Rattus norvegicus: one gene and its partners. The protein of the gene in region 2 interacts with the protein of the main gene of each other region in a pairwise test. Links are inferred from orthologs where the notes say so. Each region holds a gene or a part of one and is shown on either strand. Other genes may lie near its edges. The genes, in order: Rgs2, Git1 and C7h8orf33.

What was found.
Region 1: the proteins of Git1 (region 2) and Rgs2 interact in a two-hybrid assay, tested with the Homo sapiens proteins (2 studies listed by BioGRID and IntAct). The link is inferred for Rattus norvegicus from reciprocal best matches to the Homo sapiens genes GIT1 and RGS2.
Region 3: the proteins of Git1 (region 2) and C7h8orf33 interact in a two-hybrid assay, tested with the Homo sapiens proteins (2 studies listed by BioGRID and IntAct). The link is inferred for Rattus norvegicus from reciprocal best matches to the Homo sapiens genes GIT1 and C8orf33.

What each region holds. Positions count from the first base shown.
Region 1 is NC_086031.1:58,349,881-58,354,317, forward strand, and holds Rgs2 (regulator of G-protein signaling 2), read right to left. Parts: upstream 2,787-4,437; coding exon 2,677-2,786; intron 1,648-2,676; coding exon 1,546-1,647; intron 1,437-1,545; coding exon 1,375-1,436; intron 838-1,374; coding exon 671-837; intron 427-670; coding exon 232-426; 3' UTR 183-231; downstream 1-182. UniProt on the Homo sapiens protein: Regulates G protein-coupled receptor signaling cascades. Inhibits signal transduction by increasing the GTPase activity of G protein alpha subunits, thereby driving them into their inactive GDP-bound form.
Region 2 is NC_086028.1:62,846,361-62,850,697, forward strand, and holds part of Git1 (ARF GTPase-activating protein GIT1), read left to right. Parts: coding exon 1-36; intron 37-146; coding exon 147-252; intron 253-721; coding exon 722-939; intron 940-1,020; coding exon 1,021-1,115; intron 1,116-1,449; coding exon 1,450-1,492; intron 1,493-3,070; coding exon 3,071-3,097; intron 3,098-3,266; coding exon 3,267-3,315; intron 3,316-3,601; coding exon 3,602-3,674; intron 3,675-4,166; coding exon 4,167-4,264; intron 4,265-4,337. UniProt on the Homo sapiens protein: GTPase-activating protein for ADP ribosylation factor family members, including ARF1.
Region 3 is NC_086025.1:110,561,258-110,565,694, forward strand, and holds C7h8orf33 (hypothetical protein LOC681282), read left to right. Parts: upstream 1-1,477; 5' UTR 1,478-1,734; coding exon 1,735-1,740; intron 1,741-1,820; coding exon 1,821-2,111; intron 2,112-2,253; coding exon 2,254-2,338; intron 2,339-2,651; coding exon 2,652-2,798; intron 2,799-3,254; coding exon 3,255-3,394; 3' UTR 3,395-3,728; downstream 3,729-4,437.

The DNA of each region.
Region 1 (4,437 bases), on a different chromosome or scaffold from region 2:
GAACCCTGTTCCCTCCCTCTGTTCTTCACACAGCAAGGGAAACTTCTCACAGAGACTCTCCTAGGTTGCTGGCTTCCTGATTCACTACCCAACATTGAATCAATAGTTCTGAGCGATGTTTTCCTAACACTCAGGCTGAATTCAAGGTCAGTTTGTTTTTTTTTTCTGGCAGGTTACAGCCTTTGCTCTCGGGAGACAGAATGGAATGTCCTCGGTGGGGGTCTCCCTGTCTCATGTAGCATGGGGCTCCGTGGTGATCTGTGGCTTTTTACACAAGTCCTGATAAAATTCTGATTCCAAGAAACGAGGATAAGAGTTGTTCTCCATCAGGCTGTACACCCTCTTCTGCGCTGTGGTGAAGCAGCCACTTGTAGCCTCTTGGATATTTTGGGCAATCAGAGTTTTTGTTTGAAAGTCTATGTTTATCTGAAAGAACAAAAGAAAACTCCATTTATTTGCTATTCAATGGTACAGACCGATGCTTAATAATAAAACATGAAGGTATAGTTTGTGATCAGTTATAACTGTCAGTTTTGGGAGAAACTTAAATGTTAGGAGAGCTGGGGTGAGAGCCATACACGGCTCCTCTCCCGTGAGTATGAACGCAGTGTATTCAAGTCTCGTGTTTCCCTTCAGTATTGAAGACGATCTGAGGAACCTGCTTTCTTACCTCTTTGGGAGCTTCCTTCTCGATGAAGTCGGTGTATATTTTCCTTGCTTTTGAGGACAGTTTCTGTGGTGATTTGGTTTTCTTGAAGTCTTCGCAAGCCAACCAGAATTCAATATTTTCTTCACAGAACTCGGACTTTAAAAACGCTCTGAATGCAGCAAGCCCATCTGGAAGCACAAGGAGACGCGGTATGAAGAATATGAATGGAATGGCCGAATTACACACAGCTCTCCTAGTACAAAATGATCAGTTTCCTAGACTTCATTCAAGCCTGTCATTCTGGAAGTCTAGCTCTTTAAGCACTAAGATGCCAGTAAGCAAAACGCTTAAGTTTGTAGTCTGCAACAAAAAGTATACTTAACTTCCCTGTCAATGCCAAGACCAGTATTTACAGGACGACTCTAAGTCCACTAGGAACTAGGGCTTTTGAAAATATTCTATGTAATGGAAAAGCTGACTCAATCAGCTATGAGTAACTGGCATCTTAATTTTTAGGCTAATTTTTCTTCCCCACCTGAGTTGAATACCTCTTGCTTCCCTATGATTAAACTTAGTGATATAAGGGAAAGAGAAACAGGCTTTGTACTGTCGGTGGTGGTAATGTCTAATGCATTTCTTGCAAACTGCTCATTTTGTGGTGCGAAGGGAACATTTCTAGGCTTTTGAGATACCGGCAAGAGATCACATTCAAGAGGTTAACTTACATTTGCTGGCCAGCAGTTCATCAAATGCTTCTGCCCAGAGCAGCGCTTCCTCAGGAGAAGGCCTGCAAGAGAAGTTCCACACATGAGCTTCACCACACATGACAGCTCCCCTTTCCTGTCCACTGGTTTGACCAGATACTCATCTCTGTAACTACAGGATTTGAAACTCACTTGATAAAAGTTTGCTGTTTGCTTTTCTTGCCAGTTTTGGGCTTCCCAGGAGTAGAGGAGTTTTGCAAGAAATAGCTCAAACGGGTCTTCCAATCTTTTAAGCTGGAAGAAAAAAGAAAGAAAGAAAATATACTTCAAGTAGCAATTCTTGAATGGTAAAATTATCATCAGTTGCAGTAGCTACAGACAAAGCAGACAATGAGTCTCATTCCCTTAGCATTTAAACCCAGCACCTCCTGGCTTTTCTCCATTAGTCTGACTATAATGAGCTTCACAAGCAGGATAGAACTAGGTAAGACCTAAGGCAGTTTACATTTTCACCAGCTATTTCTGACCTAATAAACAGATAGAGGTTTTTCTGTGTGGTTGACTACAACTTGCTGACATTTTGTGATTGAGAACAGCTGCTGTTTTTTCCCTTTCTGCACCGGAGGCAGGAGGGTCTGGACTATGCCAGAGACAATGCATAGGGGTGTGTGTGTGTGTGTGTGTGTGTGTGTGTGTGTGTGTGTGTGTGTGTGTTGGAGGGTCTGGACTATGCCAGAGACAATGCATAGGTGTGTGTGTGTGTGTGTGTGTGTGTTGGATTCCCTAGCTCCCTTCTCAGGCCGCCCACAGTGCTTCTCTGCAGCAGATACTGCAGAGCGAATTACTCATTCCATAGTCGTGACTGGGTGAGACCTACTTTATGATTTAAAAACGGATCGCATACATTGAGAATCAATTCAAACATCCCCACCCAGCAGCTATGCAAGCAGCTCAGAACTAACAATGCAACGACTAGGCGCCGGTGGACTTCATTCCGCTGCAGGAGTCTGATGCTACATTAAATGCAGAACAAAAAAAAAAAAAAAAAAAAAAAAAGCCAACCAGCGCCTTCTCAGCCCATCTACCGCCACCTTCTTCGACCATTTCCTACAGTTCTTAAACTCTCTGAGCTCACATAGAAAAAGCACATACCACCAGATCTAGCAAGCTAACTTTTTCTCTCCCCCACAAGCCCCCAACTCTCCCACACTTTCTTTGCAGAGGCGCAGTCTAGAGTATTCCTAGCCGAGATCGAGAGAAGGTCGGTCCCTAGCAGCAAAGCCAGGCAGGGTAGGAACTCTTAGGAAGAGAGGGCATACTCACAGTGTCCGCTTCATTTTCTCCCGCTTCTCCTCGACCTTGGGGCCGTTGCCTGCGCTCTTGTCCATGGGTACGCAGTCGTGCTGGACAGCCAGGAACATGGCACTTTGCATTCTCAGACACCCGCGGCCACCGCAGCTGTTTGCCGCCCGGAGCGCGGCGCGAGCTTTTAAGGCGGGCGGCGGCGCAGGGGCGGGACTTGGAGGCGTCGGCCACACCTCTAGAGGGCGCGGATTGGCCCACTGCAGACGGCACGAGGGCGGGGTCACGCGGGCCTGCGGCAGTCACGGCAGCCGCCGAAGGGTCTGGAAGTGAGGGCGCTGTTGACGTAGGCGCCGCATCCTCGTGCGCACACAGGGTGGGAGGTGGCGGGCGGGGACAGAGAGCGATCGCTGTTAGGCAGCTCAGGCGGCCACAGCCGTGAAGGGTCCTGAATTTGTGGCTTTTTCTTGAGTGAAGACCGTAGTGTGTGTGTGTGCGCGCGCGCGCGCGTGTGGTTTGTGGTGTGTGCCCCCCACCTTTGCAACTTGTCTTTTGTTCATCCGGACACCTATAAACTGAAGCCGGGATGGGGAGAGTCCTGCTGACTGCACTCGGCCACTCCACCTGTTTTGGAGAAGGAAATCAACAACAAGAGAACCCTGAAACACAGGCTACTGAACTAGGTGCTGTGACTCTGTAGCTCTCTGAGGCACCTTGGATTTCCTTAAGGGAATACAGGCTGCTCAGGGAGGAAGCAGGAGAAAGTGTTTCTTAAAACCTGGTGTTTTAAATGGTTCTGCAGTCTTGATCTTTAAATGCATGGTTGCAGCAGGCTGTGACGTTGCAAGGTCGTTCCCCAGGAGACCCGATGGGCATCTCCCTGATGGGCATCTCCCTCCGGGCATAGCATAGATCTGAGTGATAAGTGAGAAATACAAAGGGAAACCCAAGATTCCCAGTTCGGCTGCACCCGGATCATTTGTAGTTTCAGGGTGTAAGGAATCAGGATTTCCTCATGAGTCATTCTCAGTTGAACAGGCTTAGGATTTACCAGATGTTCAATTGCTTAAATTAAGGTTGGGGGCTAGAGCTAGATGTGAGAGCCCGTAGGTGTAATCTGTTTGGACAAGCTTCATTTGCGATATCCTCAGAATCAGGTCTTTGCTCCTGCAGGGTTTAATATGCCCTGATTTGTAAGAACCAATACGTGACTTCAACTACAAACTGATTCAGCTTCCTATGTTACCAGAATGATGCGGTGCAATACCTAAGTGGTTTTCCCATAAAGTCTCAACAGATAGACTAACAAAAAGGTACAGCTTAGGCTCCAGTTATTCTGTTTCATACTAGACCCACTAAAAGGAAAATGAAGACCCTCAAACTGGGATCCAAGCAACACATTGTTACAAGCTGTGCATGGTTGAGCTCCAGGTTTGAGTCAGAAACTAAAGTCTGCAGTCGCTAATGAAGAAAATTGCTACAGCCTTTATTATAGAAGGAATATCATTTTGATTTTAGTAACAAATACTTGAAAGCACGCTTATGAATGGCTAAGATGGGATTTTTAATAAGCCCAACAGAACTGCACTGTTCCTACATTTGTTTCAATGTCTGACGATTTAATACATATTTATTAAGCATGCAAAATGGAAACAGTGTTGCTGTTTAAAAATATGTGTAATGTGTGGGCATATTTGATTTTTTCCAATAATACAAACCAGGAATATATTTTTCACTTAACAAACCTGGGCATTAAAATCATCAACATTTATGTTTCTGTGT
Region 2 (4,337 bases):
TGGCCGGCGCAAAGCCAACCCCCAAGACAAAGTCCAGTGAGTGGGGCTGCAGGGGCGGTGGGCAGGCCGTGTGCCCTGGGACAGGGGCCTGAAAGGTCGCTTCCCTAAGCTTCTTGCTCCCATTGCTTCCTGTGTGCTCCATGCAGCCCCATCAAGTCAGAGTTCATCAGGGCAAAGTACCAGATGCTGGCGTTTGTGCACAAGCTTCCCTGCCGTGATGATGATGGGGTCACCGCCAAAGACCTCAGCAAGGTGTGAGGGGTCCCTCTTTCCACACCCATGACACCCTGAGGCATAGGTCCCAGAGGCAGCATAAGGTCAGGGAAAACAGTAAGTGCAGACTCTCTGGAGCTCTGTCAGACTGCTGATGGCTAAGAGGCCTCCACTCCCAAGTGGATGCACAAGGCCTCCCATCTGCCACTTGAAAGATAGGAAACCCTGGAGTCCTTGCTTAGCTATCCAGACCTTCATTTCCTCACCTGTAAAATGGGAATGTAGTAACAGGACCTACCTCTGGCTAGTGTCTGCTCCAAGCAAAGACATGGAGGGTAGTGACTGGCAGCTGCTATTATTAATTGGCATTGTCCTCTAGTGGGAAGCCCTCTGGGCCCAGGTTTGGCAAGGCCCCTTGGAGCTGGCAGGTGTGCGAGGAGCAGCCAGGTGGGGGGTTCTTGGGTACACGTGTGTCTGTCACACTCACTGCACACTCTGCTCCTCGCAGCAACTGCACTCGAGTGTGCGAACAGGCAACCTGGAGACCTGTCTGCGCCTGCTTTCCCTGGGTGCCCAGGCCAACTTCTTCCACCCAGAAAAGGGCACTACACCTCTACACGTGGCTGCCAAGGCAGGGCAGACACTGCAGGCTGAGCTGCTAGTAGTGTATGGGGCTGACCCAGGCTCCCCTGATGTCAATGGCCGCACACCCATTGACTATGCCAGGTGAGAATCAGCTAAAGGATGAGGCTTAGGTGGAAGGGAGTGACTGCTGCTGTGTGGCTGAGCCATGTCCCCTCCCCACAGGCAGGCGGGGCACCATGAACTGGCAGAAAGGCTAGTTGAGTGCCAGTATGAGCTCACTGACCGGTTGGCCTTCTACCTCTGTGGACGGAAGCCTGGTGAGCAGAGAATGGGCCTGACTAGGCCCGGGCAGGTGGGACCAGACACACCCAGCAGCAGGTGCCATAGTGACAAAGCCAGCTGGGGAACTGTGTTGCTAGGCAACTGGCTCCTGTGAAATTGCTGCAGGCTCTGGGTTGCTGCAAGTATGTTGGGGCCAAGGAGTGGGGGTGGGCCTGACTTGCAGCCAGCTTCCAATGCTCTTGGGGTGTCCTGCCCACCTCCATTCCCTTTGATACTTTCAAGTGTCACACCCTGCTCATGGTGGGAAGCGGGCTCCTGGATGCTGGTGCCACCTGCTATCAGTGACTTGGCATTTTTATTTTTGTTCAGATCACAAGAATGGGCATTACATCATCCCACAGATGGCTGACAGGTGAGTGCCCACCTGATGCCCTTTCCAGCTATTAGATGTCAAGGTGACTTGACCCAGAGCCCTGCCCCTTTCCAGGCTTCAGAGGCCTGCCCTCCCACCCTATTCCTGCACTGACTAGCAACACAGAATTTGTAGCCTAGTCCCTATTACTGTAGACCTCAAGGCAGGCGAGAAGTGTCAGTTCAACATCCAACAGTCCGCGTGAACCTTGTGATTATTATCTGGAGGGTTTAGGTACAAGGAAAGACCTAACTAGGTTCGGCCATTGTGTACTACCTGCCATGTAGGCTTTGAATGAAGTAATTCCCTCTGTAGGGAGAAGATAACTACAGGGAATTTGTTGACTTTGGAAATACTGGCCAGACCTCCATTGTGCAGTGTGCAGGGGAATAATGGTGAATTTTTGCCTCTGATCATAGCAGCCCCAAGATAACTCAGCAGTGGAGGATATCCCCAGTCACTTACTCAGTTTACAGGACAAGAATGCGCTGGCGCCACCTAGTGGTCCTCAGGGGACTACAACTTGATGCCAGGCAGCACCCCCTGGCATTAGGAGAGGTTTTCCATCATAGCCTGTGCAGGCAGATGGGTCAGGCTGTGCAGCTCAGATTCCTAAACCCAGAACTCCCCTGTTCCAAGACCCTGAGACTCAGTTCTTCTTCTCTAATCTGATCTGCCTAGGGGTGGGTGTGTGTGTGTGTGAGTGTGTGTGTGTGTGTGTGTGAGTGCGCGCGTGCAGAGTCAACACACACACAGGGACGTAGAGTCAGTGGTTGTAACTTAGCACCTCCTCAGAGCCAGCTGCTGCTCTAGAGACACCAAGGTAATGCAGACGCCACCTTGCCCTGAGCTACAACTAAACAGGCAGGACATCAGCAAGAGGTGCTAGGGTGCAGAGGTAGGAACTGCAAGCAACTTGTGTACTACAGCACAATGTGAGGGAATGAGACTGGGAGAGCCAGGTGAGCATGAACCTCGTGGGGAATCCCAGCAAGGGCACAGCCATCCTGACGGAGTTCAAGCATGGCTGGAATGGATATGTGGCAGTAAGTTACTGTATGACTTGAAGCAGGTTGCCTAGCCTGAGCCTTGGTCATCTCAATGCTAATACTTACCCTTTTGGGAATATTGAGAATAATTAATACAAAAAATACAAAGTACTTAGCATTTTTTAAAGAAAGCATTGTGAAGAAGTATGGTTGAACTATATTTATATTTGATGTACACATTACTATTGAACTGTTTTAAGACAGAGCGTGTGGCCAGACATGTAGGCACTCTGCCGCTGGATGAGAAAAGGATTTTAAAGACAAGCCTAGAAGTCTAAAAGCCCAGACCAGAGGAAACAGGGCAGAAGTGGGAGGCGAGGCTAGGGTCTGAGGAAGAAGGAAATGGGGGATGGCTTCTTGTAGCTGAGAGTGGACAGAGAAACAAGCTGGGGAGGCAAAGTCTCTTGCGTGTTCTGTTTTGGGTGTGTGTGGAGATGTGTCTGAGCTTGACATGGGAAGGCAAGAGCCGCCTGCCCCTGGGTAATTGCTGCTCTGTCCTGTTCTTCCCTTTGCTGCCTTCCTGGATTAGATCTCGGCAAAAGTGCATGTCTCAGAGGTACCCACACCTGTTGGCTGCAGGCTGTGAAGTTTGGGTGTTGGGGGGGGGGGTTGGTGTGTGACCTCGGGGTCTCATCTCCCTGAGTTCCCTGCATGCTTGGGAGGTAACCAGCAGGGCCCAGACCGTCCCTCATGTCTGGCCTCTCTCCTCCCTCCTTTGTCCACAGTTTGGATCTGTCTGAATTGGCCAAAGCTGCCAAGAAGAAGCTACAAGCAGTGAGTCTGCCTCAACAAGCTAGGACTTCTTAGAGCAGCCCTCTCCAGCCTTGCCAGGCTCCTCCCTCCAGTCACCTCCCCATGCCCTTGTCTTGATCCTGGTTCTGCCCTCCAAGTGTGTGTCCAGAGCCTCGCCTCTGGGAGGAGGAAGTAACCTGGACTCTTCCTTGCACATAGAACCTCACCCACCCCTCAGTTCTAGGACAGGCTGGGTGACAGCGGGGTCATGAAACTTCCCACATCACACAGCCTCCTGACAGACCCTGGGCCCCCTCTCTGCCTCTAGCTCAGCAACCGGCTCTTTGAGGAGCTCGCCATGGATGTGTATGACGAAGTGGACCGGAGAGAAAATGATGCAGGTGAGGGAGAAGGGACCTGCCACAAAGAGCCAGGACCCAGTGAACCAGGGAAGGGGGTGCTGCTCAGAGGCCACTGGAGTCCCTGTCACACACGACCCCCTCCCCCATACACCCTTGGGCAGCGCTAAGCTGTCAGCAGCCAGCCGCCTCTCTACCCACCAGGCACTGGGGCTCATCTTGCTCTGGCTGCCTCCCACTCTGGCTGTCTCCTCAGCCATGCTCCACCCCTACCCTGCATCACTCCTCCCTGGCCACAGCCAGATTCCAACCCAAACTCTGGGTCTGGCCTGGTGGGCCCTGCCTTGTTGTGTTGTCAGTGGGCGGGCCTCACTGGGCCTGGCCCAGAGTTTGTGTTGGTGGAGACCCTGCTTCCTGCCACACTGGCCCAGTCTGAATAGAGGAGGGCCTGGGGGGCTCTGCTCAGTGCTCCTCCCCCTCTTCTCTGAGGGTGCATTCACAGTGGGTGATCTGCTCCCTGCCCTTCCCCCACAGTGTGGCTAGCTACCCAGAATCATAGCACCCTGGTGACAGAACGCAGTGCTGTGCCCTTCCTGCCAGTCAACCCTGAATACTCAGCCACTCGGAATCAGGTGAGGAGGGATAGGCAGGAGGCCTGGATGGTTTCCTCTCTGAGAGCCCTGCCCTTCCTGCCAGAGACAAGCT
Region 3 (4,437 bases), on a different chromosome or scaffold from region 2:
ATAGGCATTTCAGGTGTGTGGCTTTACATGTTTTCTCATATCCGTACTCTGGTGTCACTGTGTTAGTTACTTTTCTGTTGGCTGTGATGAAACACCCTGATCAAAAGCAACTCTTGGAAGCAAAGTTAATTTGTGTTTATGGTTCCGGTCCATTATGGTGTGGAGGCATAGCAGCAACTGCCAGGAATGGCACGAGGAGTAGGAAACTGAGAGATCACATCTTCAGCTGTAAATGTAAGCAGAATCCAAACCTGAAGTGAGGTGTCTGGTGTCCTAGAACTCACTCTCTAGACCTGGCTGACCTGGAACTCACAGCGATCCCAGTGCTGGGATTAAAGGTGTGCACCACCTCCTTGAGGCTATGAACTCTTCCTACTTCATACCTTCAGGAACTTCCACTAGTGAGATGGTGCCACCCCGTAATCGTCCCAAACAGGACCACCAGCAGGGACCGAGTATTCATTTGCCTTTGGTGGAATTCTCAAACACCCACATTCCATTCCCTGACTCCTGTAGTGTTTTAAATGAGATGTCTTCTATAAATCTCTGGAGTTTGAATCCTTGGTCCCCAGTTGTTGGCTGTTTGGGAAGGATTAGGAGGTGTGTTCTTGTTGGAGGAGGTGTGTTACTGAGGGCTGGGTTTAAGGTTTTCAAAGCCTCTTACCATGCCCATGGTGTTCGCTTCCTCCTGCTTTTGGATCGAGATGTGAGCTCTCAGCTGCTGTTCCAGTCCTCCTCTGCCATGCTTTCCTTCCATCATCATAAATTTTGTCCCCCTGGACAAATTTGTCCCCTAATCAAACTATTTTTCTAAGTTGCCTTGGCCAGAGTGTTTTATGGCCATATCGTAAAGTAAAAATGCATTTAATCTAACTGTAAAAGTTCCCATCATCTTTTTCAGTTTCAACATTGTTTAAAAAGTCCCAAGGTAATCTCTTAACTATAGACCCCGGTAAAGTCAAAAGTAAAATTATATACTTCCGACGTACAAGGGCACAGTATGTACGCTGGCATTCCAAAACTGTGGAATAGAGGCATAGCGAAGAGATACAAAATACCAAACCCTGAAGCTCCGTGTCTGGTATCTGCAGTCCCACGGTTAGACCGCTATGATAGCTATTGCTATTCTTGGTTGTCAACTTGAAAACAAACGTCTGGAATTATCCTAAAACCCACGGGACTGGGTACACCTGTAAGAGAGTTTTTCTTGAGGTGGGAAGATGCACCTTAAATCTGGGCCACGTCTTCGGGTGGCAGCCTATATAAAGGTCGTGGAAGAAGGACGTTCTTGCTCTTTGCATGCTTACTCCTACTCTCGCTGGCAAGTTCACTCCTTCATTGCTATTAGAGCCTAGTTCTTCAGGATTGTGATGTATACTGGAAACCAGCTGAACCATCTGGCTTTATGTGTGCCCCGCCCCGAACCGCCCTGCATGTCCACCTTGCCCCACCTCTGGGCGTTCCCCTCCACCCCGCGGGTTCCATTCTCCCCAGGGATCGTCTTGTTTTTTGGCGGCGCACTCTGCTGGGTTTTCCGAGGCCTTAAGTTAAGTTCCTGTGCACTCTGTCAACCCAAATTACAAGCACAACCTGGAGCGCTCCGTCCCGCGGTGAGCATTGGCTCTGGGTCCGCTGTACTTTCTGCGGAACCTTGTGTCGTAGACCTGTTTCCAGGGGAGTGAGTTCGCTATGGGATTTTTAGGATTTACTAGCTTCCGGTGACCTCTCCAGCTAATGGCGGTAAGCTGTGCGAGGTGTGTTTGTGGCGAGGCCCTAGGTGGGGAGACCCTGTGAATTTCGTCCTGTCCCACGTTTTTCAGGAGCCAGGGCATCCTGCTCGGGAGGCACCAGCAGCCTCAAGCCGGAGAACTAATCGCGCTCCGCGCAGACCTCAGCTCTCTCGCCCAGCTTCCGGTGCCTCGGATCCTCCTCTTCGTAATTCAGTGCAACCTACATGTGACTCCGCCAACAGGACACATCCCGTAGGCAACACAGTATCGATGAAGCAAAAGAAAAAGAAAACCCCGAACAGGGTCTCTGGGACAAATGGAAAGGAAAAGCCCTCCGAGAATCCTACTCCAGATGAAGCTCCCCCTAGTGCTGAGGCCCAGGCAAGGATGGGACTCCCTGTGAGCTTTCTGGATGCTAACCCGCCTACCTGTGTGGGCTAGGTGTGCGGAATTAAGGCGCTGAAGGTATGGGAGTGGAGTCTGCGGGATCCTATTGCCTGCCATGTCCTCCTTTCTACCACAGGCGGAGCAGCTGGCGCGGGAGCTGGCCTGGTGTGTGGAACAGCTGGAGCTGGGTCTCAGGACGCAGAGACCCACCCCGAAACAGAGTGAGGGACCCTACTTTATAGTTAAGGAAATGTAAACCATGACAGTGCTGTGGCCTGGTGGTGTTGCCAAGGGCTGGGATTGTTGCTTTTTGTTTGTTTACGTTGTTTTGGTTGTTTTTTTGTTTTTTTTTTTTGTTTGTTTGTTTTCCCCCCGCGAGACGGTCTCATTGTACAGATCCGCTTGCCTTTGCCTCCTGGGATTAAAGGCATGTGTCACCTCAGTCGAATGGGAATTGTTGCCTTTGTAGTAGGATGATATGGAGTGTGTTTGAAGTTACTAGCGCTTTAATTTTTTTTTTTTTTTAATCTGCAGAAGAGCAGGCTGTTGGGGCAATCCGAACGTTGCGGAGTGAAAAAACCCCCTTGCCCCGGAAGAGACAGCTGATGCGCTCCTTGTTTGGGGACTACAGGGCTCAGATGGATGCAGAGTGGCGGGAGGCCCTACGGGCTTTAAAGGCTGGTGAGGAACTAGAAAGTGATTGGTTCAGTACATTAACTTCAAGGGAGTGGCTCAGCTCAGCTGGGTTAGTGGGGAAGAGATGGGCTTGGGGGGGGGGGGAATTGTAAGCATGGAGAAAAGTATATACCTATTTGGGGACAGAGGTCCCGGAAGGAGGAGGGCCGAGGTCCTCACCTCAGTCTGTTTTGGAGATGGGAAAAACCACTCATCTGTCTTGGCCTGGGCTCACTTCACTGGCTATAAAGCTAGATCCCAGTTGGACTTTAGCTCCTGAAACAATAAATAACTTTGGCATAAATCCTGGATACGTTATTTAGATTTAAACGTTTTTGGTAAGTTACTGCATCTCTGTGAGTCTCATCAGAGAAGGCATTATTTACTTTTAGTACTGAGAAGTTAGGAGAGTTGTAACTGCACAGATCACGTTAGCTGACTCTCCACTCCCCCTTCCTACAGCCACCCGCTCGGCCCAGGTACAGCTGGTTGGCGAGGCCGCCAGAAAGAAGAGTGGAAGGGTCTGCAGGCCTCGTCCTGCAGGAAGAGCCGGAACCATGTCCGACTTGACCAACGAAGAGTTCCGGTTCAATTTCTTTTAGAGGCTCCTACATGCTGGACTAGTCATCCCCTCCGGGGTGGTGAGGGGGATTTGTCTTGAGTGCAGGGCCTTTCCAGGAATCCTCTCAGCAGAAGTGGGATTGGTTTGTCCCTCAGGACATGAAGCTGCTGGCCGGTGTGAAGCTGCCACGTGAGAACTTTTGAAAGAAATGTTCTTCCTGACAGAAGAGAGATGTGGAGTAGCTGCTGGTGATAAGGAACTGTGGAGAAGCTCTCGACACACTGGGCTCACTTTCGAAAGGGCGCCCTGGCCAGTTTTCAGTGCTTTACATATTGTTATATTGCCTTAATAAATCTTTTTTTAAAGAAATAGGATGGTGGGTGGAAGAGAGCTGTCTGTGTTATTGGAAGCAAAGTGAGACAGGGGCTGGGACTGCTTGGTCCAGCTCTGATGCCAGGGCCTCATCTGTTGTTGCTGTTGCTGTTGCTGTTTTTCTGAGCAGGTCATCATCTTCAAGGAGCCAGTGTGGCCACCATCCAGCTGTGTTTTGTTTTTAGGAGCCAAGGAGCTACTTGTCCTAACCTGAACTGAGTCTTAGCAGACCGCATTTAAAACAAAACAAAGCAAAACCCTTTGTTTGTGTGTGTGAATGGTGTGTAAGTGGGCGGGTATTAGCGTGCTGGGCACACATGTATAAAAGTGTCTTTTATTCCCCTGATGTAATTGTCTTCAGAGGCTCACTGCCTTCTTCTGCTAGCCTAGGCCTAGTCCTGGAAGCTTCTAGCCTGGGTACCATCTTATCTAGGCCTGGAATGTTTTCAGTTTCTGAGACTTACTGCTGAATAAGATCACCCTTTCTAGCTCTTTTCTTAGCTCTGGCTGGCTGGTTCAACTCAACTGTTCTGACTCCAACTCCTCTCCATGCTGAGTGATTCAATCTGGCTTCTCTCTCTCAGCCTCTTACTCTATGCTCTGCTTGGCCTCAATACTAACTCTGGCAATCCGTTCTAATCCTCTGGTTCCTCATTCTCTGGCTCATTCTGTCTTCACCTGTGTCTAGCTTGTTCTCTTTCTGCAACCTGT